Tamandua tetradactyla: one gene and its partners. The protein of the gene in region 3 interacts with the protein of the main gene of each other region in a pairwise test. Links are inferred from orthologs where the notes say so. Each region holds a gene or a part of one and is shown on either strand. Other genes may lie near its edges. The genes, in order: FOS, CNKSR1 and CYTH4.

The links.
Region 1: the proteins of CYTH4 (region 3) and FOS interact in a two-hybrid assay, tested with the Homo sapiens proteins (2 studies listed by BioGRID and IntAct). The two-hybrid records come from large-scale screens. The link is inferred for Tamandua tetradactyla from reciprocal best matches to the Homo sapiens genes CYTH4 and FOS.
Region 2: the proteins of CYTH4 (region 3) and CNKSR1 interact in binary tests that used the Homo sapiens proteins (3 or more experiments, as listed by UniProt). The two-hybrid records come from large-scale screens. The link is inferred for Tamandua tetradactyla from reciprocal best matches to the Homo sapiens genes CYTH4 and CNKSR1.

Annotation. Positions count from the first base shown.
Region 1 is NC_135338.1:34,376,025-34,386,164, forward strand, and holds FOS (protein c-Fos), read left to right. Parts: upstream 1-6,303; 5' UTR 6,304-6,477; coding exon 6,478-6,618; intron 6,619-7,318; coding exon 7,319-7,570; intron 7,571-7,996; coding exon 7,997-8,104; intron 8,105-8,228; coding exon 8,229-8,870; 3' UTR 8,871-9,678; downstream 9,679-10,140. UniProt on the Homo sapiens protein: Nuclear phosphoprotein which forms a tight but non-covalently linked complex with the JUN/AP-1 transcription factor. In the heterodimer, FOS and JUN/AP-1 basic regions each seems to interact with symmetrical DNA half sites.
Region 2 is NC_135328.1:200,015,236-200,025,146, reverse strand, and holds the start of CNKSR1 (connector enhancer of kinase suppressor of ras 1), read left to right. Parts: upstream 1-5,410; 5' UTR 5,411-5,573; coding exon of another isoform or gene 5,574-5,720; 5' UTR 5,721-5,988; coding exon of another isoform or gene 5,989-6,033; 5' UTR 6,034-9,911. Other genes in the region: C2H1orf232 (uncharacterized protein C1orf232 homolog), read right to left, coding at 794-891, 1,017-1,100, 2,937-3,020; ZNF593 (zinc finger protein 593), read left to right, coding at 4,420-4,619, 4,806-4,868, 4,952-5,093; transmembrane protein ZNF593OS, read right to left, coding at 5,574-5,720, 5,989-6,033. UniProt on the Homo sapiens protein: May function as an adapter protein or regulator of Ras signaling pathways.
Region 3 is NC_135333.1:29,587,752-29,597,692, forward strand, and holds the start of CYTH4 (cytohesin-4), read left to right. Parts: upstream 1-5,269; 5' UTR 5,270-5,367; coding exon 5,368-5,386; intron 5,387-9,941. UniProt on the Homo sapiens protein: Promotes guanine-nucleotide exchange on ARF1 and ARF5. Promotes the activation of ARF factors through replacement of GDP with GTP.

The DNA of each region.
Region 1 (10,140 bases), on a different chromosome or scaffold from region 3:
GATAACTAACTGGAGTGATTTAATCTGGAGGTATAACATGTTGCTTTTGTGTTATAATTCAATTCAGAGTCCCTTAAGTGGGGGGAGTAAACTCTGACAATGTGAGGTCAGTCCCGGTCTGAACTAACTAACTCACAACCTCACATGGACAGGGTCTAAAGGTGGACTTCTTCAGTAGAGTCATTGGTGGGACTTTACCAGTGAATTCTAACTCATTAAACACTCCAGGTAAAATACCAGAGGGGAAGATTAAACGTCAGCTGGGAGTTGCAACTGGAAGTTTTCTTGTAGGATACAATCAAATACTAAACTAAGACAAAAACCTATCACATCTGAGGATGGAACTATGATCTGTTTTCCAAACAAGTCAAAAGGCAGCATAACTCCAAATGCTCAAGTACTGGTCAGGATTTTCCTGATTTAGGGAAGGAGATTTGGGGGGGGGGGGGGGGGAGTGAAGAAGAGCAATAAAAGTCTCTTCTAAAGATCTTTCTTGTCAATTCTTGATATTCACACAAGCAGTGTGGACAACCAAAGCTATAGGCTGAGCCCCAGTCTTGGGGTTTGTTCACATGAAACTTAACCCCACAAAGAGTAGGTCAAGTCTGCTTAAAATTTAGGCCTAAGAGTCACCCCCAAGAGAGCCTCTTTTGTTGCTCAGATATCGCCTCTCTCTCCAGCCAATATGATAAGCAGTCTCACCACCCTCCCCCTCTCTGCGTGGGACATGACTCCCAGGGGTGTGGACCTTCCTGGCAAGATGGGACAGAGATCCTAGAATAAGCTGAGACTCAGCATCAAAGGACTGAGAAAAACCCTAGAATGAGCTGAGAATTAACATCAAGGGATTGAGAGAACCTTCTCTACCAAAAGGGGGAAGAGTAAATGAGACAAAGTGTCAATGGCTGAGAGATTCCAAACAGAGTCGAGAGGTTATCCTGGAGGTTATTCTTACGCATTAAGTAGATATCACCTTGTTGTTCAAGATGTAGTGGAGAGGCTGGAGGGAACTGCCTGAAAATGCAGAGCTGTGTTCCAGTAGCCATGTTCCTTGATGATGATTGAACAATGATATAGTTTTCACAATGAGACTCTGTGAATGTGAAAACCTTATGTCTGATGCTCCTTTTAGCTACTATATCAACAGAAGAGTAGAACATATGGAATAAAAATAAATAATAGGGGGAACAAATATTAAAATAAATTCAGTTTGAAATAGTGGTAAATGAAAGCAAGGGGTAAGGGATATGGTACGTATAGTTTTTTTTTCTCTATTATCATTTTATTTCTTTTTCTGTTGTCTTTTTATTTCTTTTTCTAAATCGATGCAAATGTACTAAGAAATGCTGAATATGCAACTATGTGATGATATTAAGAATTACTGATTATATATGTAGAATGGAATGATATCTAATGTTTTGTTTGTTAATTTTTTTTTAATTAATAAAAGAAAGTTAAAAAAAAAAAAAGATCTTTCTTGTCGAGTAAGTAGATAAAATGGTATAAGCTCCACCTGGGATGCCTTAGCACCTTGGTACACATCATGTAACAGCCTGTTCTGCTCACCCTAGCCCTTGCCCAGCCCAACTATGAGATTCCCACGTTGAATGGGGGCCGTGCAGCTGATGTTTCTTAGTCAGGGTGTATCGTTGTCCTATAGGTTTAGTGACGTGGAAGGGGCTCCTCTGGAATCCCAGAAACTAAGTCCACCAGAATTGCAGATCAGCTCAGGACACCTAAGGTGCTGAGAACCTGGAGAAGATTTGCTTGTCTGTCGGGGAAGAGCTCTTGTTTCTTCAGCAAGATTCAGCATGACCCACAGGGTGATTGCCTGATACTGCCAATTGGGATGAAAGAGGCCAGGGTTTTGGGCTAAAGTATGTTCATCTTAGACACCATAGCTGTTCCCTAGTTTCCTCAGCTCCAGATGGAATGTGTCCCAGGGACCACACAGAGCTTTGTTTAAATGCTGGCATTAGCAGAAGGATGGGGATCCCATTGAATCATCATCTCCTGTCAAAAAGCCAAGAGTTGTTCAGAATGAAAACATCATTTTTCCCAAAGAAGCGAATCCCTAGTACTAATCAGTTTTGGCATATATGTGTGTGGGGGGGGGGAGGGGGGGTTAGGGGGGTGGATAATTAGATGCCTCCACTGTTTTGAAATAGGGGCAATCTCTCTGCCCACAGTCTGAGCCATAGGGTGAGTAACCTTGACCTTGAAGGCCTTTCCTTTTGCTCACGTGTGTGTGAGCCTTGCAAGAATTATTGAATGCTTAAAGGGACCAGACATTTCAGAAAGAATAAATTAGGGGGTGGCAGTAACACAGTCATTGTCATTGCAGACAACGTGGTATTGATGTATGGGCACTGGCTGTCTTCCTCATGGGACTGAGAAACAAGGGTATGTATGACCTTTCATCATGAACTGCTGGGGTGTTCTTTATACACAGTGGCTGCACCAGCTGAAAATAGCCCAAACATCTTGCTATTTTCTCTTTCCCAGTTCTTGCCTATTCATACCCAAGAGTAAAAGACAGCCTGTTCAGCCACTCCAAAGATTTAAAGAACGTTACCTATTTGAGTTCAGGGTACCCAAAGTACAACCATTGTTGTTCACCTCGCCTGGGTGGGGGGCATCATTTATTCAATTCATTTATTCATCCACTCAATGAATATTTATTGAATGCCTACTAGTGCCAGACACTGTGCTAAGTGCCATGTGAACAGTGACACATGAAAAAGACAAAGTCCAAAAGTACATAGCTGCTAAACAAGACTAAGAAGTGACTTCCCCAAGCCCCTGAAAGAGTTGATTTTTGTGTACGCATCTTCCTGACTTTTGGTCCCGTGCTCTGACCACAACCCTTCACCACTAGACCACACTTCCCCAAATAAATAGCTACTTCTGCATGCTGGGGACGGGCTGTGTACGGCAGCATTTACGTAGGCGGCACAGACAGCAGCCTTTCACTTAGTTTTGCAACAACCCCAGGCTCAACAATGCGCACGATGTGCAGTTATCGAAAAAATGTTTGATGAGGCTCAGGTCTCTTAATGGGAATGCCACATGGAGGGGGCAAAATAGGAAAAGTCTGTATTGGATAAGGAAATACTGCTAAGGAAAAATTAATTTGTGCTTAGTTTGGGTTAAAACCAGATGCTGGACTCCTTTTCACACTTGGATCCCCAAATAAGAGTTACTCAGCAAACAGATCATCACAAACTATGTAAGATTTGGTTTTATATGCTCAGACTTGTCCAGAACACAGAATCTCCGTCCTGCAAGGCCCGCCTGCTGGAAGGCAGCACCATGCTCACAGAGATACACCTGTTTCAAAGTTATCCTAACTTTTCAAATGAGAAAGATAATTTCACACATTGGTTCTGATTTGCCTTTATCTTTAGGCTACATTGTGCAAGCTCCATTTTTTAAAAATGTGATTTTGCAGTCCTGAAATATCACGAGTAGACTGAGTTGTGAGAGTATGCTAGAATGCAGTCACAGGTTCAGATGTTAGTGGGGCGGGAGAGGGAGTCTAAGTTTGTATCATCTGGTACATCTCTTTCTGGTTGAGTGCTAGCTTCCTTAGATGATGCTCTGGCCCTTTGCAAACTTTATAATGTAATTTCCCAGAGGAAAGAGGATCCAGGCTCCATCTCTGTATTGCAGTCACTTTCTCTGTGACCTTTTCCCAAGCCCTCTTCTGTGTTCTGTAGCACCCTATGCTACCCTCTGTCAAACCAGTTACTGCTGTCCTACAATTTTCAATTGACTTGCCAGTCTTCTCCACGAGGTTGGAATCTCCAGGAGGGTCTGGAGACAGGCCCAACTCTGTTTATTACAGTAAGCACCGGTCCCTGACACAGGGCTGAGCAAAAGGAGGCTCTCAATCCTTCTTTGTCAAATAAATAAACGAATGAGTGCTTGGTTCTGTCCTTCTCAGAGGATGAATTTATTAAATATCCACTTCTCTGGTAATAATGGTGCCAAGAAGGAAAGAGTTAAGCTGTCTGGACGAGAGAGGCACACCCAAAGACCCTTTTCCTTTTTATTGACAAAGGCAGAATAAATGATGAATAGTATTAATCCTGGATGTAAAATCTTGACACGTCTTTTAGGTATTAGTCTGAGCTGGTTGAACTTTGAAGGGGAAGTAAATCAAATCATTCTAGGTTTTTCTCTTAAGTGGCTCTGAGATCCAGTTGTGAATCAAAGACAAGGCCAGACCCAGGAATTCAAAGCTTGACCTACTTTGTCCAAAGCTAATAATAAGAAGAGAGATGGATTTGCCTTCATGACATTTTTTAATAACCAAGGACAGTAAAGTAGGTTGACAGAAGGTAGTTTGGAAGGTCTCAGAATTGCTTTAGGACTCAGAACAGCTCCAAGAAGTCTGTGTTTCTATATTATGTTTTTCCAATTCTCTCTTATTTTTTTTAAGTGAGAGGGAAAAAAAAAAGCTTAAATTCCCACCGACATAAACCAGTGACATACAATGATGAAATTGTGTTTTCACCTCTGCCTGTGACAGGGAATGCAAAAATAGTAAGTGGCCCAATTCCACGAATCCCCGCCTCCCTGCCCTCCCTGCTCCCCCAGGGTTCGGATCTCTAAGAATGGAGGTTAGCGCATAGCCGCGCGCGCGCCTCGCTCAGCCCCCGGACCCGGCGGATGATGTCAGGCGGCGGCAGCGGCCGCAGCCGGGCCCGGGAGGCCACGGCCCCGGGGGAGCGCAGAGGGAGGGCGGCCTAGCCAGGCGGACGGCGCGCCCAGCCGCGCGCCGTCGCCTGGAGACCGCCCTGGCGGCGCTGTGTTGCTGTAAACAGCCGCTTCCCTGTTACTATCTATAGCAGGATCGCTTGGCTCCGGGGTGCGGGCGGCTGGAAGCAGGTCGGCCCCCAGCTCCGGGAGCGCCCAGAATGATCCGCCCGCTGCCCGGGCCCTGGAACTGGGGAAGGGAGCGCCGGGACTCTTGCGGGGATCAAGGGCTTCGCGCCCCAGAAGTGGCCAGCGAGCTGGGGGCGACCCAGAGTGATGTGACCCCGCTGTCTTTTCAAGTGGGGCAGGAGGTTAGGGTGTCTGGGGGGCGCGGCACGACCCAAGTACCTAGCCACCTCGAAATCCCGTTTTCCGGGCTGCGGAGCTGCGCCTGGGGCTCCAGCCGCGGAGATCTCTGCTGGGCACAAAACTCCGCGCGCCCGGACCCTTGCCCCTCCCTCTCCAGATCCGCGCTGGAAAATCACCCGCTGCGGGCTCCAAGTAAGCCCAGCTTCTAGGCGGGGATTGAACCAGTCTCTCACCTTCTCGAATCGCTCTTGCGCGCCCTAAAGAAGCTCCCCCCACCAAGTTACCCTGAACTGACCACAGCGCCCATTTATAACGCGCTCCCCGCCACCAGCTCAGAATGAGGCAAAGACCCCTTCAGACACTCTTGCCAGAGGTTTTGCACAATGTTTATCAGCTGGTGTCTTAGAGATGTGACGGTAACAGTCTCACATAAGACCGAGAAAAATATGCACCGTCTTCCTTAAAAACAAAAATAATAAATAAAATTAAAACCCCAAGCATCATACATAAAGTAGGTTATCTTATCCTCTTATTTTGGATACCCCGACTTTCTGCTTCCAAACGCAGTCACAATCCTAGTATGACTCGCCGTCCGGGTGGACGAGGGTCGGCTTCCACATTTTGCAGAGAATTAGGGTTAGAATTGGGAATGGGGGTGGGCGCATTCCTTCTGGGCTTTTCTCCTACCTGTTTCTCCTACACCTGAATCGCAGAACTGTCCCTGTTTTCTGTACCACTGGTAACGAGGAGCACCCCTCCCCTCCCCCATCTCGGGAACAAGGGTCCGCATTGAACAAGCTGCGAAAGTTCGCTCCTGTTCTCCTGCTTTCCCGCCTCCCCTCCCCCGGCCGCGGCCCCCACCTCCCCCCGCCTGCACCCTCGGTGTTGGCTGCTGCCTGCGAGCAGTTCCCGTCAATACCTCCCCCCTTTACACAGGATGTCCATATTAGGACATCTGCGTCAGCAGGTTTCCACGGCCGTTCCCTGCGGTCGTGGGGGGAACCATCCCCAAAGCCCCTCATCTTGGGGGCTCAAGAGACCCCGAAGACCCAGGGAACTAAACGCTCACAGGATAAGGACATAAAAGAAGACCGAGGGCAGGGGCAGCGAGAACGCCCGAGGCGGCAAGGCGGCGGCAGATGCGCCGAGACTCTCGCGTCACCCCTCCAGTGCCGAAATGGTTGCGCCGTGACGCGTGGGCTCATTCATAAAATGCTGTTATAAAAGCGGTGGCTGCGGCGCCCCGTACTCCAACCGCATCTGCAGCGAGCAGCCGAGAAGCTGAGACACAGCCGGCGACCGCGGCGCAGCGAGCGAGCAGTGACCGCGCTTCTACCCAGCTCTGTCCCACAGCTCCCACCTGTCTCCGCCCTTCGGCCCCTCGGCCGGCTTTGACTAATTGCGACCATGATGTTTTCCGGCTTCAACGCCGACTATGAGGCGTCTTCCTCCCGCTGCAGCAGCGCCTCCCCAGCCGGGGACAACCTCTCCTACTACCATTCGCCTGCCGACTCCTTCTCCAGCATGGGCTCCCCTGTCAATGCGCAGGTAAGGCCGGCATCGTGCCTCCTTGGGCACGGGGCTTGGGGTCGCCGGGGAGGAGACATCGGGGCGGGACGCTGGGGAGAAAGGCTGCAGCGGCCGAAACATCTCTAGCCCGGGAGCCCGAGCGTTCTGAGCACTCGCACACTTGCTATACTAAGAATTGGTTCCCTCTTCCCGCGGAGGGCTCATTACTAGTAGACCCCGGCAAGTGCTCTCTGGCTGGGTCTCTGACATGTGCTGGGGCAAATGTGTTCCAAACAGACTCGCTAACTAAAGCCTGACGCCTCAGGGGAGGCGTCAAAAAGCCACAATCCCCCACCCCGCCACCCCCACCCCTCGTAGCCTGGAGCAGGGAGGAGGGGCGGGGGAAGAGGGTGCAGCAGGCGGGTGTGTAAGGCAGTTTCATTGATAAAAAGCGAGTTCATTCAGGAGACTCCAGAGCGGCGCCTGCGTCAGAGTAGACGTCAGGGATATTTATAACCCCCTTTCAAGCTAGTGATGCTGAAGGGATAACGCTAACGCAGCAGCAGGATGGAGGAGAAAGTCACTGTGCTGCGGAATTCTTGGGGCGAAAAGGGGAACCCTTTTACCCAGGATGAGGGACACATGAGAGGACAGGACGTGGCGCTGGGAATTCTACTCACCCCACCTGTGTCCGGACCCGGCTTGCTCACGTTTGCTTCCCTCTTCTCTTTCGTTCTAGGATTTCTGCACGGATCTGGCTGTTTCCAGTGCCAACTTCATCCCCACGGTGACTGCTATCTCGACCAGCCCGGACCTGCAGTGGCTGGTGCAACCCACCCTGGTCTCTTCGGTGGCCCCATCGCAGACTAGAGCCCCCCACCCGTATGGGGTTCCCACCTCCTCGGCAGCGGCTTATTCCAGGCCTGGCATTGTGAAGAACACGACAGGAGGCAGAGCCCAGAGCATTGGCAGGAGGGGCAAAGTGGAACAGGTGAGGAGCTCTTCAGCACCTTCTTTCCGTAGCGGAGGGTGCAGAAAGATGGAGATGGGGGAGCAGCCGAGAGGTTGAAGCCACTAATCAAATGGACTGGCAACCCCAAACAGAAGCCCTGGCTCCAAGCCCTTTGCATCCCAAGTCAGATCCAGAGCGTCCCACCCCAAGAAGTACTCTAATAATTTCTGCCTTTATAGTTTCCCTCTTATGCATTTAGACTGGTTTTTCTTTGTTCCTTTGCCGAGGCCCTTATTTTAAATGCAAGTCACACCCAGCCTGCAAATGCAGGTTAGAAATGGCTTCATAGAAGAGGTGCCAGGAAGCTGGGAAGCTGCAGGAGCCAGTTGCACTGCAGTGGGTGGATGGAAGTGATGTTGGACACTGTTACTGGATGTTGATCTGTTTTAAAAATTATTACTCTAGTTATCCCCAGAAGAAGAAGAGAAAAGGAGAATCCGAAGGGAAAGGAATAAGATGGCTGCAGCAAAATGTCGTAACCGGAGGAGGGAGCTGACAGATACACTGCAAGCGGTAGGTGGTCCCCATGGATCACTCCTTTTTAAGACTTAAGGGGAAAGTTGGAGATGGGGTGTAAGGGAGCAGGGTCCTTGATTAAGACTGTGTCTTATGCTTTTCTTTATCCCTCTGTATACAGGAGACAGACCAACTGGAAGATGAGAAGTCTGCTTTGCAGACAGAGATTGCCAACCTGCTGAAGGAGAAGGAAAAACTCGAGTTCATCCTGGCTGCTCACCGACCCGCCTGCAAGATCCCTGATGACTTGGGCTTCCCAGAAGAAATGTCAGTGGCTTCCCTTGATCTTCCTGGGGGCCTGCCGGAGGCTACTACCCCGGAGTCTGAGGAGGCCTTCAGCTTGCCCCTCCTCAATGACCCTGAGGCCAAGCCCTCCGTGGAACCTGTCAAGAGCATTGGCAGCATGGAGCTGAAGGCTGAGCCCTTTGATGACTTCCTGTTCCCAGCATCGTCCAGGCCTAGTGGCTCTGAGACCGCCCGCTCTGTGCCAGACATGGACCTGTCTGGGTCCTTCTATGCAGCAGACTGGGAGCCCCTGCACAGCGGCTCCCTGGGGATGGGGCCCATGGCCACAGAGCTGGAGCCCCTGTGCACCCCCGTGGTCACCTGCACTCCCAGCTGCACTACTTACACGTCTTCCTTCGTCTTCACCTACCCTGAGGCTGACTCCTTCCCTAGCTGTGCGGCTGCCCACCGCAAGGGCAGCAGCAGCAACGAGCCCTCCTCTGACTCGCTCAGCTCCCCCACGCTGCTGGCCCTGTGAGCAGGCGGGGAAGGGGAGGCAGGAGGCACCTCCAAGTGCCACTCCCTGAGTTGGTGCATTACAGAGAGCAGAAACACGTCTTCCCTCGAGGGTTCCTGTAGACCTAGGGAGGACCTTATCTGTGCGTGAATCACACCAGGCTGTGGGCCTCAAGGACTTGAAAGCATCCCACGCGAGGACTCAAGCCCTTACCTCTTCCAGAGATGTAGCAAAACGCATGGAGTGTATTGTTCCCAGTGACACATCTGAGAGCTGGTAGTTAGTAGCATGTTGAGCCAGGCCTGGGTCTGTGTCTCTTTCCTCTTTCTCCTTAGTCTTCTCATAGCATTAACTAATCTATTGGGTTCATTATTGGAATTAACCTGGTGCTGGATATTTTCAAATTGTATCTAGTGCAGCTGATTTTAATGATAACTACTGTGTTCCTGGCAATAGTGTGTTCTGATTAGAAATGACCAATATTAAACTAAGAAAAGATATGACTTTATTTTCTAGTAGATAGGAAAAATAGCGACATCCATGTACTGTAGTTCTTCTCCAACATCAATGTTCGTTGTAATGTTACTGATCATGCATTGTTGAGGTGGTCTGAATGTTCTGACATTAACAGTTTTCCATGAAAACGTTTTATTGTGTTTTTAATTTATTTATTAAGATGGATTCTCAGATATTTATATTTTTATTTTATTTTTTTCTACCTTGAGGTCTTTTGACATGTGGAAAGTGAATTCGAATGAAAAATTTAAGCATTGTTTGCTTATTGTTCAGAGACATTGTCAATAAAAGCATTTAAGTTGAATGCAAAAAACCCTGTGCTCTTTTCATTCTGGACATTTTGTAAGAATCAGAAAGGTTTTACTGGAGGCCTGTCTTTCAGGAAGGGTGGCTCGTGGAGGGGGACACATCTCTCTTTCTGGTCCCTTATCAAAGAGGAGAAGGAAACTCCAGAACTGATCTTGGAATATTTTACAAATATATCTTCATATCGTGAGGCTAAGATTCTCTACTCACCAACTGGGGTGCAGTGGGAGGGGGGAAGGGAGCATCTCCTATGCAATACTTTTTGTGGGCACACTTGTTTCTGCTTCTGATAGTCGAAGGGGGGAATATTTAAGCCCAGTTGTGCTAATATTATAGGCATCTTGATCTTAAAGAACCCTTTCATTAAACAGAATTAAGCTTTGTGTGAACCTCTTTAATAGTTTATCCCCACAAAATCATGTGAGGAGGAGCTAATTGAAGAACGGCTAGAATGAGTGACTTTCTCTAT
Region 2 (9,911 bases), on a different chromosome or scaffold from region 3:
TGGGTGTAGGGAGAATCTGGGAGGCAGCAGAAAGATGTGAGGGTAGGACAGTCAGGAGGGACCCTGAGGCTCAGGTCTGGGGAAGATGTAGAAGAGTGAGGGGGAAAAGGTGAGGGAGGAAGAAAGGCTGGAAGAATGGATGGGTCAGGGGTCCCTAGGGGAGAAAGGAATAGGGGAGTGGCAAAGGGCAGTCGTGTGTTTGTGTGTGTGTGTGCGAGTGTGAGTGAAAAAGAGATGGGGTGTATAGCAGAGAGACGGCTGAGACTTTTGGTCCTGGCCTCCCTCACAGCATGAAAGACCTTCCAAGACAGTGGTTCCCAAACCAGGAGCTTGCTGAAGATACACCGCCCAGGCCTCAGCCCACACCTGCTGAATTAGAATCTCCTGAGCAAGGTTCCTGAATTTATGTTTGTCGCAAGCTCCTGAAGTGGGTGAAGGTGAGGCCGATATTTGGGAACCACTGATCTGAACTACCCTCTCTTCCAAATACCTAAAGTTTCTTTCTTCTGTTGTTGATTCTAAGGAAATGATCCCTCAATGTAGATGTGAACGGTAGAGAGAGGGGATTCAGGAGCCCATAAATACTTTTTAGCACCCCGATCCCAACAGCTGAGAAGTTCTTCCTGAGATCTAACCTAATCTCATAGTGTTGCTGATTCGGTCTCTTTCCTGCTTAGAGAAAGGAAAACAGCAGGGGCTGCCCCTTCCTAGCCCTCTGTGATATGAAATACAGACAGACCAGATGGAAAGAACAGGGAGAAGGGATCTCAAACCCCACACCCCACATACATACTGGTCTGAACAGGGCTCCGGTGGCAGCAGCTTGTCCTCGTCGTCTTTGTTAAACAGAGATGACATGGTCAGCCAACCTTTCACCCCAACCCCCTGAACCTAGGATAGAGGGACTGAGAGTCAGGAGAGGGCCCTGGGACAACCTACCAGGGCTCCACAGCAGCCTCTGCCAGGCTCCCCAGGGGCAGGACCAGATCGGGGTGGAAGAAGGGAAAAGAACTCACCCGGCGGGCCAGCTGTGACATGGGGTTGAAGGCCTCTTCGGCCGGTTCTGCCATCCCAGACTCCACCAAGGCTGGGTTCTCCCTCTGGGACACAAGACCCCCGCCTGGCATGAGAGAGGCTCCAGAGAAGTGGGAGCCATCCCACTGCAAGCCAGGCACATGCAGACCAGGCACTCCAAACCCCAGAGAGTAAGCACTCACTTGTACATCTCACATCTTCTACAAGGACGCACGGGGACACATACAGGTATACTTCTGTACAGAGCTACAGTCATACACGCACACCTGTACAGTCAGTTCCTGCAGACACCCTGAGTACACATACCTGTCTACCCACCGACACAAAGCCACACCCATACACACTGAAGACATGTGGACAAGGTCATGCACGCTGATTGTAGACATACATGAGCAGGCTTCCACCTGGCTGCAGAGTTTTACATCTGTACATGGATGTATGTACATGGACACGCACATAGTTATGCCATTTACACCTGTCCACATGTACACTTATAAAACTGCAGGCAGCTCTACAGAGACCCACCTGTAGCACACGAGAACCTCTCCACCCACACACAGACACTAGGACAAAAAATGTACACACACTCCTGGGTTATATTGTGGGCCCCAAAATGATATGTTGAAGTTCTAATCCCTAGAACTGTGAAAGTGACCTTATTTGGAAATAGGGTCTTTGCAGATGCAATCAAGCTAAGACGAGGTCATTCTGTATTAGGGTGGGCCCTAATCCAATGACTGGTGGCCTTATAAGGACAGGAGAGGTCCCGCAGAGACAAACACAGAGGGAAGACAGAGGCAGGAATTGGGGTGATGCAGCTACAAGCCAAGGAATGCCGAGACACAATGAAAGATTCTTCCCTACAGCCTTCAGAGGGAGCATGGCCCTGATGACACCTTGATTTCAGACTTTCAGCCTCCAGAACTGTTAAAGAATAAATTTGTGTTGCTTTAAGCCACCCAGTTTGTGGCAATTTCTTATAACAGCCCTAGGAAACCAATACATACCCAAACTCACATGCATGCACATACACACACACAAAGGTGTGCAGACATTGAATTCTGCCCCAAATGTGCACATCTTAAAAGACCTGTACCTAGTATATACCTGCACATATACCTTCACTGGGGATGGCACATGGAAGTCAATCCCAGTACCCTCCCAAGGGTATTTCTTTGCAAGCCCAATGTTGGATGGTAGCCAGTCTGGAGATGTATTCGTACATAGGACTAGTTCCTGCCTCTGCCACATCTGTCTGCACAACTGCCATTTATCATAGCCTCTAACCTAAGACTGTTTCCAGTTTGAGATCACTGTTAGATTTTTTATGTCAGGATAAAGCTTGGGCCAAGTATGGTTTTGATCCGATGCTGCCCTCAGAGTAATCCTCAGAGTAGAGTACAAGTTCCACTTCCCTTCCCTCTAGTAACAGGGTTTGCTACCTCTAGAGGCGAACCATCCCAATTCTGCCCAGCTCTCTGCCTGTTAGAAAGCTGTGTCAAACCGAAATGTACCCCATGTGACTACTGCCTACCAATCCTAGAAGTGTGTCTTCCTCACGTCTGGTGGTTGCTGGCAATCATTGGCATTCCTTGGCTTGTAGCCACATCACTCCAATTCCTGCCTCTGATTCTCATGGCATCCCTCGAGATCTTTGTAGACTGTGGACCACTCTTCTCATTCCCACCCCCATCACTTTTCCCCCAGTTTTCCCAAAGTTTTCTTGGATATCCTGGCTTTCTGATCTGACACTCCACCGTCCCTTTTGCCACACCCTGAATGTGCCAATGGTTTCTGCATCAATGTGCCTCTCTCTATCTCAGAGCCTTCCCCTTGCTGTCTTAGTATCTCTCACTCCTACTGTCCCTCTGCCCAGGTCCACCCAACAGGATACTACCTACCTCCTCTGCCAGGTCCTCCTCAGATTCCCCACTCAGTGTCTGCAGTACTTTGGACTTGTAGGTTTTCCAGAAGGCCTGGTTCATGGCTACTGCAGGGGGAGACCTGGCAGCCAAGCACAGGAAGGTGGTGGCTCAGTGGGCACCCAGTGTCTCTGGCTCCAGAAACATGGCGAGGCCAAGATGCTGTCCCAAGGATCGGGTAACTTCATAAAAGATGCACCAGCCTCCTTCAGCTGGCACAGTGCCCAGCTGTTGAACCTGATCCAAAGGAGTCTGGAGTGGGGTGGGGCCGTGAGACAGAGCGGGCACTATCACCTCAGCTCTTCTCTTGACCCATCTTGATCAAGAATAATGAAGACATCTCTCCCCTCTGAGGCTGATCTCTTGGAATGGCTCTGGAAGAATCCTCTTTCTCATTCACAAAGTCCTTGGGTGCAGGTCCCATCCTGGTGCCCCTAGGACTGTAGCCATGCTGGGCCCTCAGCAGCCCTCACCCAAGTAGTGTCCCACTCAGCCCCTGCAAATTGAAGTGAGAAGGTCCACAAGCCCCAGACGGCACCCTGGGTTTACATTTCACTGCTTTGTCTGGGCTGGAAACTGACTCCCTCTCCCTGGGGATGCACCTGCCTGTCCCTGTTTCCTGGCTACAGTTTCCAAAGAGCTGGAGCCCCTGAATTATTGCTGAGCACCTCTGGCCCTAGCCCCAGGAGCTGACTCTGGCCAGCTGGAGAGGCACCAGGCTCTGGTGGACGCGGAAAGGCTCTCTGGCGTGTAACATCTGAGCTACCAACCCACACCTGGGGAGTCCACGGCTCAGAGAAAAAGGACAATAATAGGGAGGTCCTTTTCTGAGCATTTCCTCCTGGGCCGACAGGATGCCTGACTACTGTGACCTCCGGGGCGGCTTCGGAGGGTGGAGACCTGAGGGGAGAGTTAGGGGACCGTGAGAGGTGTCAGGGACTTGGAGATCTCAGCAAGCCCTGTGGCGCCGAGCTCTCAAATGTATTCAGACTCATTCATTTATTAAGTTATTCACATCACAGACATTCATAACGGCTTCCCAGAGGCGTTCAAAAGATCTCCCATCGCGGAGTCTAAGGTTTGGGAATCTTAACGGGTGAAAGTGCCAGGGGACGGCACTAAGAGCCAGGGATGGCCGGGGGAGGGGGGAGCGTGCAGAGCCGCCAGACCGGCCCCAGGAGTCCCCCAGTCACACGGCTCCCGCCCAGCGACTGACCCGGGGACCTCGAGGCCAGGACGGAGGACACTTCGTCTGCCCCCTCCCCCGCCCCGGGTTTACGACACTGACATCGACGGCCGCCTGGGGGCGCTCAAGTCGGCCCGGGCCAATGACGTCACCAGGGGCGGTCTGGCGGAGCTTGCACCGCCCCCGGGCGTCGCGTGACGTCATCGAGCGGTCCGGAAGCGCTAACACGTGCTACATCCGTCCCCGCCGGGTCCCCTGGCCGGGCTGCGACCCAGCATGGGTCGCTCACGCCGGACGGGCGCGCATCGAGCGCACACACTGGCCCGTCAGATGAAGGCGAAGCGGCGGCGGCCGGACCTGGATGAGATTCACCGCGAGCTGCGGCCCCAAGGTCCTCCGCGGCCCCAGCCCGACCCGAATGCCGAACCCGACCCGGACCTCCCAGGGGGCGGCCTGCATCGCTGTCTGGCCTGCGCGTGAGTTTCGGTGGGGTCGGTCTGGAAAAAAAGAGGCGGGCTCTCGAGTTCGGGCCCCCGGTCGCGCGACATCTCCCTCCTTGGGACCGATGGGTCTGCTGGCTTGCGGGAGCCGGGAGTCTGGGACGTAGGCGTACGTGAGCGATACCGCCTCCTCACCCTCCACCTCACCTCCCATCCCTGCAGGAGGTACTTCGTCGATTCCGCCAACCTGAAGACCCATTTCCGATCCAAGGACCACAAGAAAAGGTATGGAGAGCATTGATGGTTGGGGGCTGGGCAGGCAGGACTCCCATCTAGTCAGCTTCCAACTCCTGCCCTCCTTTCCTCAGGCTGAAGCAGCTGAGCGTGGAGCCCTACAGTCAAGCAGAGGCGGAAAGGGCGGCGGGTATGGGCTCCTATGTGCCTCCTCAACGGCTGGCGGTGCCCACAGAGGTGTCCACTGATATACCCGAGATGGACGTGTCTCCGTGACATGGTCTGAGGATGCAGGGCAGGAGAACTGCCAATGGACAGTGATGCCTAGTCTGGGAGAAACTGTGCTGACTCTTCTGACCCTGGGTTTGAGGAGTAAACGGCTGCTTCTGGGTGCCTACCCACAATAAAGGAACTGGACAGAGGTCTGGCCTCTGAACTCCTGACTTCGAGGCCAGAGACCCCTGCCTCCCCCAAACTCTTGCCTTGTACTGGTTTCTCTCCTGTGTGTAGGGCCCAGCATGTCTACCTCTTCCTTTATGAACATTTAGAACCTGCACCCCCCCTTCTCTATGGGGCTCTGACGTATGACCTGGTGCCCCCTAAAAGAGCCCAGGTGCAGTGAGGAGGGAGTTCTGATCAGGTGTATTCTATACTGAGGGCAGAGACTGACCCCCAGGAAAGAAAGAAGCTCCCAAGATTTCATCCCCTCCCTGAGTCACTTACCCCTAGGGCACAGGTGACTGGCCGCCTACTTCATCATGGGGCCTGTGGTGGCTGTCGCTGCTCCACCATCTTCCAAACACCATAGCAGGAGCTGCCCAGCCCGAGGACAGCCAACAGTGTGGCCACAACCCCAGCCACTGGGTTCCGGGGCTCTGCCTTCAGCAGTCCAGCTACTTGCATCTGGAGATGCACAGATGCCTGGGCTGTTGGTTGAGACTTGGGAAGGTGAGGGGAGGGAAGGGACTGAAAAGGTACAGCTGGATGGAGATGCAGATGCTGCCCCAGGGAGATTCCACCCCAATCCCTCTCGCTTCACTGCCCATCTAGGTCCTGACTACTCAGGCTGCGGAGAATATGCCAGCCTAGCTGGTCGGGTGTCAGCCTCACTATGGTTGGGGGAGGATGGGGTCTGTGGTACCCCCCGAAGCCAGAGGTTTGGGGTACTTACCTGTAGTACCCGGAAGTAGCCAGGGGTCAGGCGTCGAAATCGCATGGTGAAGGGGGTGCTGGTCACCCTGGGGGCCTGTTGGGGTAGGTGAAGACATGAGGATAAGTGGTGTTCTTTGTGCCTAGGAGTGGAAGTCAGTGTCTAGTGGCCCCTGACCTCCCATGCACACACTGCACATGCTCTCAGTGGATGCTTACCAGTGCCTGCCCGCCCACGTCTGGCAGAGGGTAGGGCAGCTGGGACCTTTAAATCCAGTCCCTTCCCCCTGCCTGCCCATCCTGCCAGCCTCAAGTGCAGCTGTCAGGAGAAATCAGCATCAGGCCTGAGCAGCCCCTCCCCTGCCCACTGGGGAGGACAAGCCTGGTAGGCGGGAGAGGCCTTGTCAGTGCCAAGAGTCCCAGGCCTGGACCAGGTACTGGGAGGGCCTCCCTGAGCCCTGGCTCCAGTCCCTACCCCTACCTTAGATGATTGGTTGCCACCAATCAGCTCTCAGCAAACAAAGCTTGCTTTATCAGTCCCCTTGCCAGCTGCAATATTCCTCTCCACTTGGTGGTTTCTGCTAGAACAACCACCCTTACCCTGGGGGAGGGTACATTTCACCCCTCTCCCATGATGGGGTTCCCACAGGGACAGATCCATTTCTTCTCTAATCTTAGCTTGGAAACAGTAATACTGTAATGGGTTGTGAAGACTCAAAGAAAAAAATGTGTGCAGAGTCCACACCTTTTGCCCAGGAATTTCACTCCTAGGAATCTCTACAGCTATTACCAGTGCAGCTAAGCAAAGATGTATGTACAAGGGTGTTTGTGCAGCATTCCTTGTAGTAGTGAACATGTAGAGATAGCCTCAGTGCCAAACACTAGGTGAATGACTAAATGTGTTTCGTTCATTTTGTGAATACTATGCAACCAAAAGAAAAAGAAAAGGTAGATTTGCATTTACTGATTAAGAAGGCTATGTGATATGTTAAAAAGCAGTGGCTGGCAGAGCTGGATGCTACTCTAAGCCCTTTACTTGAATTATTTCATTGGTATTATGAATTTTGCATTTCATAATTTGTAGAACAGTATATAGAGTGTCTGCGTGTTTAGAGAATGGAAGGTTAGTGCAGAAAATTTAATACTGGCCTCTCTGGAGAATGGGTCAGCATCATGCTAGGAATTCTCCTTTTTTACTTAATGGCCTTTATTACCTTTGAAATTTTTACAGCAAATTTATAGAAATTTTATAAACTCATAACATTTATAAAATAGAAGCTGCCATTTATGGAGCCCCTAAGTGTCTGGCAGGTGCCGAGGACACAGAAGAGGGGCACTGTTACAGTTGTTAGGCCCCCTGTCCTTTGGGTAAGTAACTGGCATAAATGCGCGGTGGTAAATTCTCACCTCTTTCTCTCCTACAGGATTGTGAGTTCAGGGAGGGCAGAGTCTGGTGGGATTCTCATTTCGGTATCATGCCAGCTCAGTATCTGGTTGGTATTTGAAATCAGGAAGGGGAGGGAATAGATAGAGCTGCTTTTAGAATCCACTGGCCTTCCCCAGACTGTTGCAGGGAGGCTGTTGTACAAAGAGGGAAGAAAAAACCTATAATTTTCAGGTTCTCCCTGTAACTTAGAGGGGCCAGCCTTTTCAGAACATCAGCTAGTTCCATCTCTCTGATAAGTTAGAATGGGCATAGCCCAAATATCCACAAAGAGTAGGAGAAAGATCAAAGGTGATGAAGTTGTACAACAAAGGTCGGGTTTAACAAATGAGTATGATTGCTGAATCACTTTATTGATTTTTTTTTAGTCTCCAGTATCTTCAGAGCAGCTAAAAGTAAAAACCTAAAATTGTAGAATAGAAACCCATACCAAACTCTGAAATCTGTTCTACAACTAACTGTTGCACTGTGCATTGAAATTATTACTATTTACTGCTTTTTTTGTATATATGTTATTTTTCACAAAAAAAAAAGTGAAAAAAAATGTGTATATACCTTTTAGCCTCCAATGCTCTGGAGCAGCTAGCAGGAAAAGTCTGAGATGATGGTATGGTAGCCCGTGACAAACTCTGTGATCTGTCCTGTAACTACTTATTGAAGAATGCTTTGAAAACTATTGCTTTTTTCTTTCTTTGCTCTGTATATACGTTATATTATAAAATTTTAAAAGTTAAAAAAAAAAGAAAGAGGCAAGAATGTTGGAGGACACAGCTTGGACTAGTGTTCGAGAGACACAAACAGTATAGGGTGTGAAGGCGGGAGGTGAAGGACAGAGCCAGAGAGGTGACGGGGTGTTTCACTTTTGGAGTCTATTGATTCACTGAGAGGGAGGCAAGCCCTGTGGGGAGCTGAAGAGCTGGTGTCACACATGAAGGAAGCAGCCACTGATCCCTCCAGCTTTTGATGCCCTATAGAGGTGGGGTGGGGTTGCCAAGGCTGGCAGAGTTCCAGAGCAGCTGGTGATCCCAGTTTGTATGTGAAATTGTTAAATGTTAACAACTTAAAAGCACACACACAACACTGCAGGGGTCACCTGTTGGCCAAATCCAGACTCCAGGTCTCTGGGTTACAGGCAAGATCATGACAGTCTTTGAAGGCCAGGTGTTGGGATGCTGATAGAGATTCCAAAGTAGGTGAGACGTTAGGAGGGACCAACTGTGGAAAAGCCTCCCAGGCCTCATAAAATTAAAGCAGAAATAATGACTCAAGTCTCCCCTGTGTTACACATTTCAGAGTGCTTAGAGGAGCCTGTCGAAGCCAGTCTTACAGCCTTAAGAGCTGGGTATCCCCCTGTTCTAGTTTGCTAGCTGCCAGAATGCAACACACCAGAGACGGATTGGCTTTTAATAAAAGGGGATTTATTTTGTTGGTTCTTCAGAGGAAAGGCAGCTAACTTTCCACTGAGGTTCTTTCTTACGTGGAAGGCACAGGATGGTCTCTGCTGGTCTTTTCTCCAGGCCCCTGGGTTCCAACAACTTTCCCCGGGGTGACTTCTTTCTGCATCTCCAAAGGCCTGGGCTGAGCTGCTAGGCTGTGCTACCTTGCGTTCTCTCATTTAAGCACCAGCCAATTAAGTCAAACGTCACTCATTGCAGCAGACACTCTTCCTAGCCGACTGCAGATGTAATTAGCAACAGATGAGGTTCACGTACCATTGGCTTGTGTCCACAGCAACAGAACTAGGTATGCTCACCTGGCCAAGTTGACAACTGAATCTAACTAACACACCCTCCTTTAGAGAGGAAGGGGTAGGCTCAGGAAGGTGTATGTGTTGGGCTCAGTCACACAGCATGTGAGTGTGGAACTGACTTGGGCCTCCTAATTCCCAGGTCCTGGAAGTCCCCTGGCCTGGGATGAGGAGTAAGGATGCAGATGATAACTCCAAATACTTCCTATATGTCAGACGTTCTAAGATGAGAGCGCTTAACCTGGGGTTAAGAATTCAGTGGGTCTATAAATTTGGACGGGAAAAATTGTGTCTTTATTCTCAGTAACCTTTAATTGAAATTTACCATTTCCTTCACTTATGGATTGAAGTATTAGCAGAATCTGACTTTGTCACCAAAAGAAATCACTGACATTTTTATATCAAATTATTGTATAGTTATTGCAAGCATCTTGAAATACTGTTTATTCCTTATGACTGCTTCAAAATCATGGCAGTTTTAACCCCCCACTAAATCTCCCCAGATCACCCTTTCTGTTTCAGACTTTGCTTCAATACTGCTGGCCCTCAGGTAGGCAGTTCTGCCCCCAGTAGTGGGTCCAGGGACCACGGGGTATATTCTGTTCTCACGTGGGTGACTCAGGCTTTCTTCAGTCCTTAACTTACTTAAGCTGAACAGCAGCAGCCTTCACACCATCTTCAAAAGGGAAAAATTTAACATGAATTCCCAGTCTTGTTACGTAATGTTAATAAACATATACCACTATATCTAACT
Region 3 (9,941 bases):
TAGGGTAAGATATTGGGTAATTGGAGCTGAAGGGATACAGATTGTGCAACAGGACTGGATATAAAAACTCAGAAATGGACAGCACAATACTACCTAACTGTAATACAATTATGGTAAAACACTGAATGAAGCTGCATGTGAGAATGACAGAGGGAGGAAGGCTGGGGACATAAATGAAATCAGAAAGAAAGGTAGACGTTAAAGATTGAGATGGTATACCCTAGGGATGCTTAGAGTATATAATAATAGTGACTAAATGTACAAATTTTAAAAATGTTTGTGCATGAGGAAGAACAAAGGAATGTTATTACTGCAGGGTGCTGAAAATAGATGGTAATTAATATTTTAAAATTTCACCTTATGTGTGAGACTAAAGCAAAAAATGTTTATTTGGTACAAAATTTATATTTTGACTAGTGCATTTCCTAATATAACTTATGCAGACAGCTTACTTGAACACCATAAGTATATGGAACCTTGAGTAGGGCATGAGATTTTGTAGGTTTGTCCAGAGTGATGCCCCAATAAATCCCAGAGTGATTTGAACAATGAATTAAAAAGTATTTGCAAATGGTGAGAAAGGGGAAAAATTCAACTTCCCCAAGTTGAATTTATGATATTCTAACAAGCACTGGGGACAACCAATAAATAGCCTGAGCCCCCAATCTTGGGGTTTGTTCATATGAAACTTAACCCCACAAAGGATAGGTCAAGCCTACTTAAAATTAGGCCTAAGAGTCACCCCCAAGAGAACCTCATTTGTTGCTCAGATGTGGCCTCTCTCTCCAGCCAACACAACAAGCAAACTCACCACCCTCCCCCTGTCTATGTGGGACATGACTCCCAGGGATGTGGACCTTCCTGGCAATGTGGGACAGAAGTCCTAGAAGGAGCTGAGACTCAGCATCAAGGGATTGTGTATTAGTTAGGGTTCTCTAGAGAAACAGAATCAACAGGGAACACTCACAAATATAAAATTTATAAAAGTGTCTCACGTGACTGCAGGAATGCAGAGTCCAAAATCCGCAGGGCAGGCTGTGAAGCCGACAATTCCGATGGAGGGTATGGACGAACTCCACAGAAGAGGCTCGCCAGCCAAAGCAGGAAGAGAGACTGTCTCTTCTGAATCCTCCTTAAAAGGTTTCCAGTGATTAGATAAGCATCACTCAATGCAGAAGACACTCCCCTTTGGCTGATTACAAATGGAATCAGCTGTGGATGCAGCTGACATGATCATGACTTAATTCTATGAAATGTCCTCATGACAACAGACAGGCAAGCACTTGCCCAACCAAACAAACAGGTACCACCACTTGGCCAAGTTGACACATGAACCTGACCATGACAGTCCACCCCTTGTCAACTTGGCAGCTATACATACCATCTTAAACCATACCTAATTTCTAAATAAAAAACAATAAAACACACATTTTTCTTTTACCTAACAATACTCAATGGTCCTACATATAACTGGAAACACATTAAATCTCTCCAGAATAGGGTACAAATCCTTGGGTAATATTCATTCTTTTTTTTTTTTTTTTTTTTTTTGTACATGGGCAGGCTCCGGGAATCGAACCCAGGTCCTCTGGCATGGCAGGCAAGCGTCCTGCCATTCATTCTTAAACTTGATATCTTACAACTTAAATAGTATAACATAAACAAAACAGCATTACAGTCCTCGTTTCTGTAACTGATCACATACTCAAAGTTCATATTTATCACTACCTTCTTCCACTACCCATTCCATGTTCCCTTTACCCTCAGCAAGCACTTCAACTGGCCGTGGTTCTTTGCCTGGTGGGGTGACCCAAATCTTCATTCCTGAAGTTTCAGGGCCATTGGTAGTCCTGCCTGGATTGGGTTGTTGCAGTTTTCCATTGATTTTAATCACAGGGCATGGTAGTACTAACAGATGCCCTAGGGGATCTCCTATATTCCAAGAAAACTCTTCTTTACCTCCATTGTGTAGTTGCAGTCCTACTTCCCCCTGATAGTCAGAGTCAATCACCCCAGAAAATAATATAATCCCCTTCTTGGTTTGTTGATCCAGTGGCATAAGTAGCCCGAAGTGACCAGGTGGCAGTCTTAACTTCCAGTTCAATGGAATCATTGTTGTTTCTCCTAGTGGAAGCACTCCCCACTTTGGAACTAAACCTGTAGACCAGCAGAGCTCAAGGTTGCAGGGACAGGAAGCAAAAATTTTCCTAGTGGATCACTAGGGGTAATAGTGAGTGGTACCACTCCCATTTCCACCCCTTGATTCCTGGACCCATGGATCCTGGCTATGGGAGAAACACCATACAGCAGACGCTGATTCAGAGCATATGCAGCTTCCTGGAGAACATTATCCCAGCCTTTCAAGGTATTGCCACCTAGTTGGCACCATAACTGAGTTTTCAAAAAGCCATTCCATCATTCTATCAATCCAGCTCCTTCTGGACGATGGGGAACATGGTAGGACCAGAGAATTCCATGAGCATGTGCCCATTCCTACATGTCATTTGCTGTGAAGTGTGTTCCTTGATCTGAAGCAGTGCTGTGTGGAATACCATGACGATGGATAAGGCATTCTGTAAGCCCACGGATGGTAGTTTTGGCAGAAGCATTGCGTGAAGGGAAAGCAAACCCATATCCAGAGTATGTGTCTATTCCAGTTAGAACAAATCTCTGTCCCATCCATGAAGGGAGTGGTCCAATGTAATCAACCTGCCACCATGTAGCTGGCTGGTCACCTCGGGGAATGGTGCCATATCGGGGGCTGAGTGTGGCTCTCCACTGCTGGCAGATTGGGCACTCAGCAGTGGCTGCAGCCAAGTCAGCCTTGGTGAGTGGAAGTCCACCCATATACATGGAGAGGATGAGTTTACCCTGAAGGGTGAGAATGAGTCTCCCACCTCGTTGTAGTGGAAGAGTAGTGCAGCCTCAGGCCTTGGAGAAGGTACAGCACACTCCTTGGGGGACTGGGGAGAGCCTGGCTGCCACCACATGGAGGGGTTGAGTGTGTGCCCCAGAAATGGCAGAGAGCCCAAGGGTGGCCCCGATGCCTGGAGAGAGTGGAAACAAGAAAAAGGTGATCTCCTCAACGTTCCCCAAGGTTGATTTGGAAGGAGGCAGGCCACTGCATAAGCCCTTGGAAAGGGTGGGACTGCCACCTTCTAAAGCTGAAGGATAAATTACTTTCAGACTTTGAAATCCAGTGGTGTTTGCCCTGTAGATTTTCCTTCCCATTTCTCCCTATAGATCTTGTGACTGTCCCTCCTTTGCATGTTGGCACCAGACAACTTGTTTTGAGATTCACAGGTCCGCAGCCAGAAGAAAATTTTTTGCACCTTAATATTGTTTAAGGTGATGCATGAAGTTGCCAAGTTGACAAGGGGTAGACAAGTGGAAGTTAGATTCAGTTGTCAACTTGGCCAGGTGAAGGCACCTAGTTCTGTTGCCGTGGCCATGAGCTAATGGTGCCTGAGGCTCATCTGTTGCTGATTACATCTGCAGTCGGCTAGGATGAGTGCCTGCTGTAATAAATGACGTTTGACTTAATTGGCTGGTGCTTAAATGAGAGAGCGCAATGTAGCACAGCCCAAGCAGCGCGGCATACCTCATCTCAGCACTCACAGCTCAGCCCAGGTCTTTGGAGATGCAGAAAGGAATCACCTCACAGAAAGTTGTTGGAACCCAGAAGCCTGGAGGGAAGGCCAGCAGAGATTACCCTGAGGCTTCCCACATAAGAAAGAGCCTCAGTTGAAAGTTAGCTGCCTTTCCTCTGAAGAACTAATGAAATAAATTCCCTTTTATTAAAAGCCAATCCATCTCTGGTGTGTTGCATTCCAGCAGCTAGCAAACTAGAAAAGATTGAGAAAGGCTTCTCGACCAAAAGGGGGAAAAGTGAAATGAGGCAAAATAAAGTATCAATGACTGAGAGATTCCAAACAGAGTCGAGAGGTTATCCTTGGAGGTTATTCTTACGCATTAAATAGATATCACCTTGTTATCCAAGATGTAATGGAGAGGCTGGAGAGAACTGCCTGAAAACATGGAGTTGTGTTCCAGTAGCCATGTTTCTTGACGATGACTGTATAATGATATAGCTTTCACAATGTGACTATGATTGTGAAAACCTTGTGTCTGATGCTCCTTTTATCTACCTTATCAACAGACGAATAAAACATACAGGATAAAATTAAATAATAGGGGGAATAAATGTTAAAATAAATTTAGATTGAAATGTTAGTGATCAATGAAAGGGAGGGGTAAGAGGTATGGTATGTATGAATTTTTTTTCTGTTGTCTTTTGTATTTCTTTTTATGAATTAATGCAAATGTTCTAAGAAATGATCATGATGATGAATATGCAATTATGTGATGATATTGTGAATTACTGATTATATATGTAGAATGGAATGATCATAAGTTACGAATGTTTGAGTTTGTTGCCATATATTTTTTTAATTAATTTTAAAAACTCTAAAGAGAAAAAGAAGATAGAGTTTCTTGAGCACCTGCTACATTCCAGCACCTTATACACATTATCTCACTCTGTCTCTTACATAATTCTGAAGTGAGAATAATTATTCCCCTTTTATAGATGCGCAAACTGAGGCCCACTGCAGGTCAGCGTCTTGCCCAAGTTTACACAGGTCCTGCGTGGCAGAGCTGAGAGTCAAACGGCTGAGCCTGACCCCAAAGTCTACATGCTTTAATAGAACAGGTATAAATAAACATCAGATTTGCCTGTGAGTTTCCCAGCAGCCTAGGGGGAAAGGGAAACTGAACACATTACCCAATTGGTCACTAGACAAGAAAAAGGCAGACATTTCTTTGAGAGGAAACAGAGCCCTTCCTAGCACTGAATTCGTTTTGTTTTACTTTTCCCTCAGGTGGAAGTTGGTGAAGGAAATTCTGTGGACCGGAATACCCGGGGTCAGGCTTGACCTGTTCAAGTTGCATGGTCTGTTGGCTTATATGTAGGGGGGGTTGCTGCATAAATGTGTATTGCGTCCTAGAGCAGATTCTGTCTGCTAGTGGCTGTCACACTCTTTGTGAGTGTTTTTCTCTCTCTGTCTCGCTGCCTTCTCTTTTCCTCTCTCTCTCTGTCTCTTTCCTTTCTATTTCTCCCTTGTTTACACCCAAAATGCAAAGGACCCAGGCTACTCAAAACTGCTGGTTTTTAGGAAGTGCTGCTGCGTGGAGAGCCTGCGCGGCAGACCCCGCGGGCCGGGCCAGGACTTCCTCCCCACACAGGGCTGGGCGGGGCCGCCAGACAGGGTCTGGCAGTGGGGGTGACGCATCCCTGGTGGCCAGTCTGAGCAGCAGCTGGGTCGGCAGACCACAGTAGCACGGCCACCTTTCCCTGGGGGCTTCAGAATGGACCTGTGTCAGCCAGGTAAGCGCCTGGAAGGGCAGGGGCTGCGGGGAAGGCTGTGAGTGTGTAGGTGCGTGCAAGTGACAACCTCAGCTCCATGAGGAGGACAGTGGACGGGCAGGGGGAGTCCGGAGGGCACAGGCCGAGACATACCTCCTGTCGAGCACCCCTGTCCCCCGCCAATGCTCAGCAGGACTGACAAAGTTGACGCCAAAGGGCCTGCAGAGAAGACTGGGGCTGGTGGGGACAGAGGCTCAGAGAGGCAGGAGGAATCAAATTTAGAACTTTGCAACGGGGGCTCCTGCCACCGTCCTTCTACCTCCCAGGCAGTGCAGTGAGAAACGGTGGACAGTGGGAAGCTGCGTGTGGAGGGCTGAGAGGGGTTCCACAGGGACAGGTGGCACCTGTGAGGAGGATCCCAGCACTGTGCCCGGGGTAGACCAGCTCTTGGAGGGGAGGGGATGGCCAGTTTGAGAGGGTGAGCATCCTCCCAGGAGGGCATTGACATGGGGGAGGTGGGAAGGGAGGGGCACATGCCCAGGGTGGGCATCCCAGCCCCACATTGGGAGTCCCAGACTGCATTTCTCGGCCCGGGCCTCCATTGCACCCCTCCCCCAGACCCTCACAGACCCAGGCTTGCCCCACCCCACCTCCAGTCAGCTTTGGGTCCCCTCCCTGGACTCTGCACTCAGAGACCTGTACATGGGGGAGTCCACGGAGTTGGGGCCACCCTGAGCTCCTCGGCCACAACGTGCACCAAGACAGGCCAGGCATAGGACAGAGCACTCAGCACTCAGGGCACAGAGGTTGGGGGCTCTGTGCAAGCCCACCTGACCCTGGGGCTCAGCATCCCCACCTGTTAAGGGGTAACCTTGCCCTCCGTTCCCTAGAAAATAGTCTTTCCCATCCAGAAAGGGTTGGCAGTTGTCTTATCTCATGTGAGCTTCGCAGTCTCTATAAAAAGGTGGGGGCAGGAACTGTTGCTTCGTTTAACAGAAATGGAAACTGAGGCTGGGCAGGTAAATAGCTTGCTCACTGCTTCATGGGCAAGAGGGAACCAGGCCCCGGACACTGGTGGGCTCTTCTGACTTTGGACTGGCTTGGACCTGGCCAGGGGGTTTCTTCAGTGGCCTCCAGGACTTTTGAGACCCCAAGGCGACTCTGGGCTCCCAGGCCTGGTCATAAGTCCCCTCCTCCACTCTCTCGCTGTGTGATCCTGGGTAAGACGGCCAACCTCTCTGGACCTCAGTGTCCTCTTCTGTAGAATAGGAAGAATGGTGCCTGCCTCACAGGATCCTGGAAGGATTAAATGTGTGAATTGATGTAAAGTATCTGGGAAGCCCAACAGCTCCAGGTGGGTGTCAAGCTGTGTCCCAGTTTGGGGTAGAGCTATTAACAAATCAGGCAAAATGCCCCCTCGCCCTCATGGGCTGGCTCTCCCGGGGGCGGGTGGGGCAGGAGGATGGACAATAAATCTGTTCTAATATGTCAGCTGGTGATGAATGTGGTGGACAAAAGTGCAGAGTCTGAGGGAGGGGAGGGAGCAGCCCATGTGGTTTCTGGAGAAAGAACCTTCCTGGCAGAGGGGACAGCCAGCACGAAGGCCCAGATTTGGGACCGAGACAGGCTTCTTGTGTAATGGTGATGATGGTGTTGATGATAGTGACATCTGTCTGGTCGGTGCAAGGGCCCTGAGGCCTTTTGGGGAAGCCAAAGATGCTGCTCAGAGGCAAAGGAGGGGAACTGGAATGAGAAGGGGGAGGTGGGGGCTGGGGAGAGGCCGTGGCTGAGAAATTCCCCAGTTCTGTGGTGAAAGAGGAAAAAAGGCTATGAAGTTGGGAGAGAATGGGACAAGGCTGTGTCCCTATGAGGCAGAAAGAAGGGCTGGAAGAGGGACATGTCCCTGCATCCTGAGTCTCAGAAGTTTCCAGCATTGCCTGGAATTCCAGAACATAAGGGCTGGGAGAAGCTGTCCAGTTCCTGAAGTTGAGATGACTTCCAGTTCATTTAGCAACAGTACCCTTTCTTCAAACGAAATGCAACACAGACTGAGCAGTTCTGGCCCCATCTCTGGACGTCCCACCCACCACCTCCCATGAAGTAGACCAGGGAGGGCTCCAGGGAACACAGTTAGAGAAACACTGGCCCATTTCAAAAGCTCCCGTTTGACAGATGTGTCAGAGGAGGCCGAGAGAAGGGCCACACCCCCTGTCCCCTGACGCTCTGTCCAGTGCTCTCTCCCTGACACCCCTGCTTCTCCTGTGGCCTTTTTGGGGACAGATGGCTCAGACTGTACAGCTCAGTGAATGTGTCTTAGGTGGGTATTAGGAGGCGAGAAGAGGCCCAGCAAGGGGCTGTGTCTGGGTCAAGGTTACTCAGCAGATGAGTGGCAGAGCTGACGTGAAGGTGAGATGGGGCGGTGATGACATCCTGCTGAGAACTGCCTCCCCCCTCCCACGGCCTGTCTTTCCACCGTTATTGCTTCATTCTTCTGCAGTTTAACAGGCTGAAGTCCTTAGGACCAGGGATGACTGTCCCCATGATGCACATGAGGAAACGAGGCCCCCAGAGGCCTGGCTTGTCCAATGTCACATAGCCAGGAAGTGGCAGAGCAGGGACAAGAACCGGTATGCTGGAAAAGAAAGAGCCCGAGGTTCGCCTGGCCGTAGGAGAGAGAAGGGAGGGGAGGGGCCTCCAGGGAAGGCCGGAAGATGAGTCACTGCTGTGCTTCACACTGGCCTGAGAGAGGAAATGGACTGGGGGCAATGTAGGTGGTCTGTTGGAAGATTTGGGTCTCCGATGATTTGTTCGTTTGTTCATTCATTTGTTTTATAACCCATCCTGGGTGTCCAGGTCCTGTACTGGGCAATGCTGGGGACAGTAGGGAGCCACTGGTGCAGGACATGGGGGAGGGCGAGACACCCTGTAGGATTCTGACCTAGGCAGATGGCAAACGGGCACAAGCCTGAAGTGTGGGCGGAAGCGACTCTTCCTACCCTAGGAGGGGCAATCTGGGAGGACTTCTTGGAGGAGGTAGAAGGTAGGTCATTCCTCTGTTACCCAGACTGGATCCTAATTGCAGCTCCCCCATCCCCCACCCCCCACTCACCATGATCAGGTGACTTCCCCTCTTGAGATCAGATTCATCATCTGTAAATGGATGCATCAGCCCAGCTTGACCTGGAGAAGCAGGGAATGAACAGGGACTTGGAGCCATCACATGGCTCTGGTCCCAGCTCTTCAGCTACATGATGGTGGCCATGATGGATTGCTTCCTTCTTGGCCTAAGTTTTTCCACCTGTATAATGGAAAGAATGATGACATAGGTCCCCCCAGGGCTATCTCCTGACTATGGGTGTGTGACATCCCAGAAGCAGGTCAGGACTCCTCCCCCAGGGCTGCTGGGAAGGTGACGAGGGCCAGGTAACAGTACTCCAAAATGACCCAAGACAAGCATTTGGCTGGTACAAAGGACAGGCCATGGTTAAAAATAGAAGCAGCTCAGCTTGGGGAGAGGAAGTCACACGTGGCGCCCGCAGGACCTCCAGGGCTGGGGCGTGGAGCAGCTCCACCAGACACCACCCCCCTCTGCCCCGGTGCCCCCCATGCTGAGACTTTGTGGGGCCTCTTCCCTCAGGGCCCCAGGATGGCTCCCTCCTCCTGCCCTGGAAAGGGGAAACGAGGCCAGCTGTCCTGGAAGCGGGCTGCTAGCAGAAAGATTTCTAAAAATACAATGGAAAAGAGGAAGGACAAAGGGGAAGTGGAGAGGAGCTGGGGAGCTGGTCCAGAGTGGGCATCAGAGCAGGGCACACACACAGCTGGCCGGGGGAGGGGCCCAGGGGGGATGGGGCGTGGGGGTGGAGGGAGATCCCAAGGTCTGAAAGCTCAGTGCTCAGTCAGGGGTAAACCGTCTCAGTCTCCAGGCCTGTTACTCTTCTTTAAAATAGAGCTCGCAGAAGCCTGCTCTAGCGTCTCAAACTCCACTGTCTGCAATTGTGGAATCAGAAGTGTCCGGGCGTGAGTTATGTCTGTGTCACCCTCCCTGAGTCTCAGTGTTCTCAGCTCTGAAATGGGGAGAACCTCACTTTTGAACCAATCGTCAGACGAAGGGTCTGGAGGCCCTTTGCGCACTGTCCAGACCCCTGAAACCTACCCGGCCAGGGGTCACCTCAGAGGGCAGAACCCTGAGAGAGGGGAGGGCAGACTGAAAGGATTCAGGGATGCATTTGTCAGACCACAAGAGAGGCACTACACACAAAGCTATTTGAAGTAGAAACTGCGAGCACCTCCCTCACTCTTACCTGCGTGGTTCCACTCCCAGGAAACTGTGTTACTGTTGTGTCTGTTTCCATTTACACCTGAGCCTCAGTTTCCCCATCTCTACAATGGGGGCTTTGTTTTATTTCTCACCAAAAAATAGCAGGGTCGGGGCAAGCATCAGCCTGCTTTTGGCCTTTACCCTCAAACTTGGAATCATGGTCAGCCTTTCTGTGCCAGGATCGTGCAGATTTAAGCATCTGGTATGGTGGGTTTTGGTGATTTGTATGGGGATATCCAGCTTCTGAGTAGCAACAGC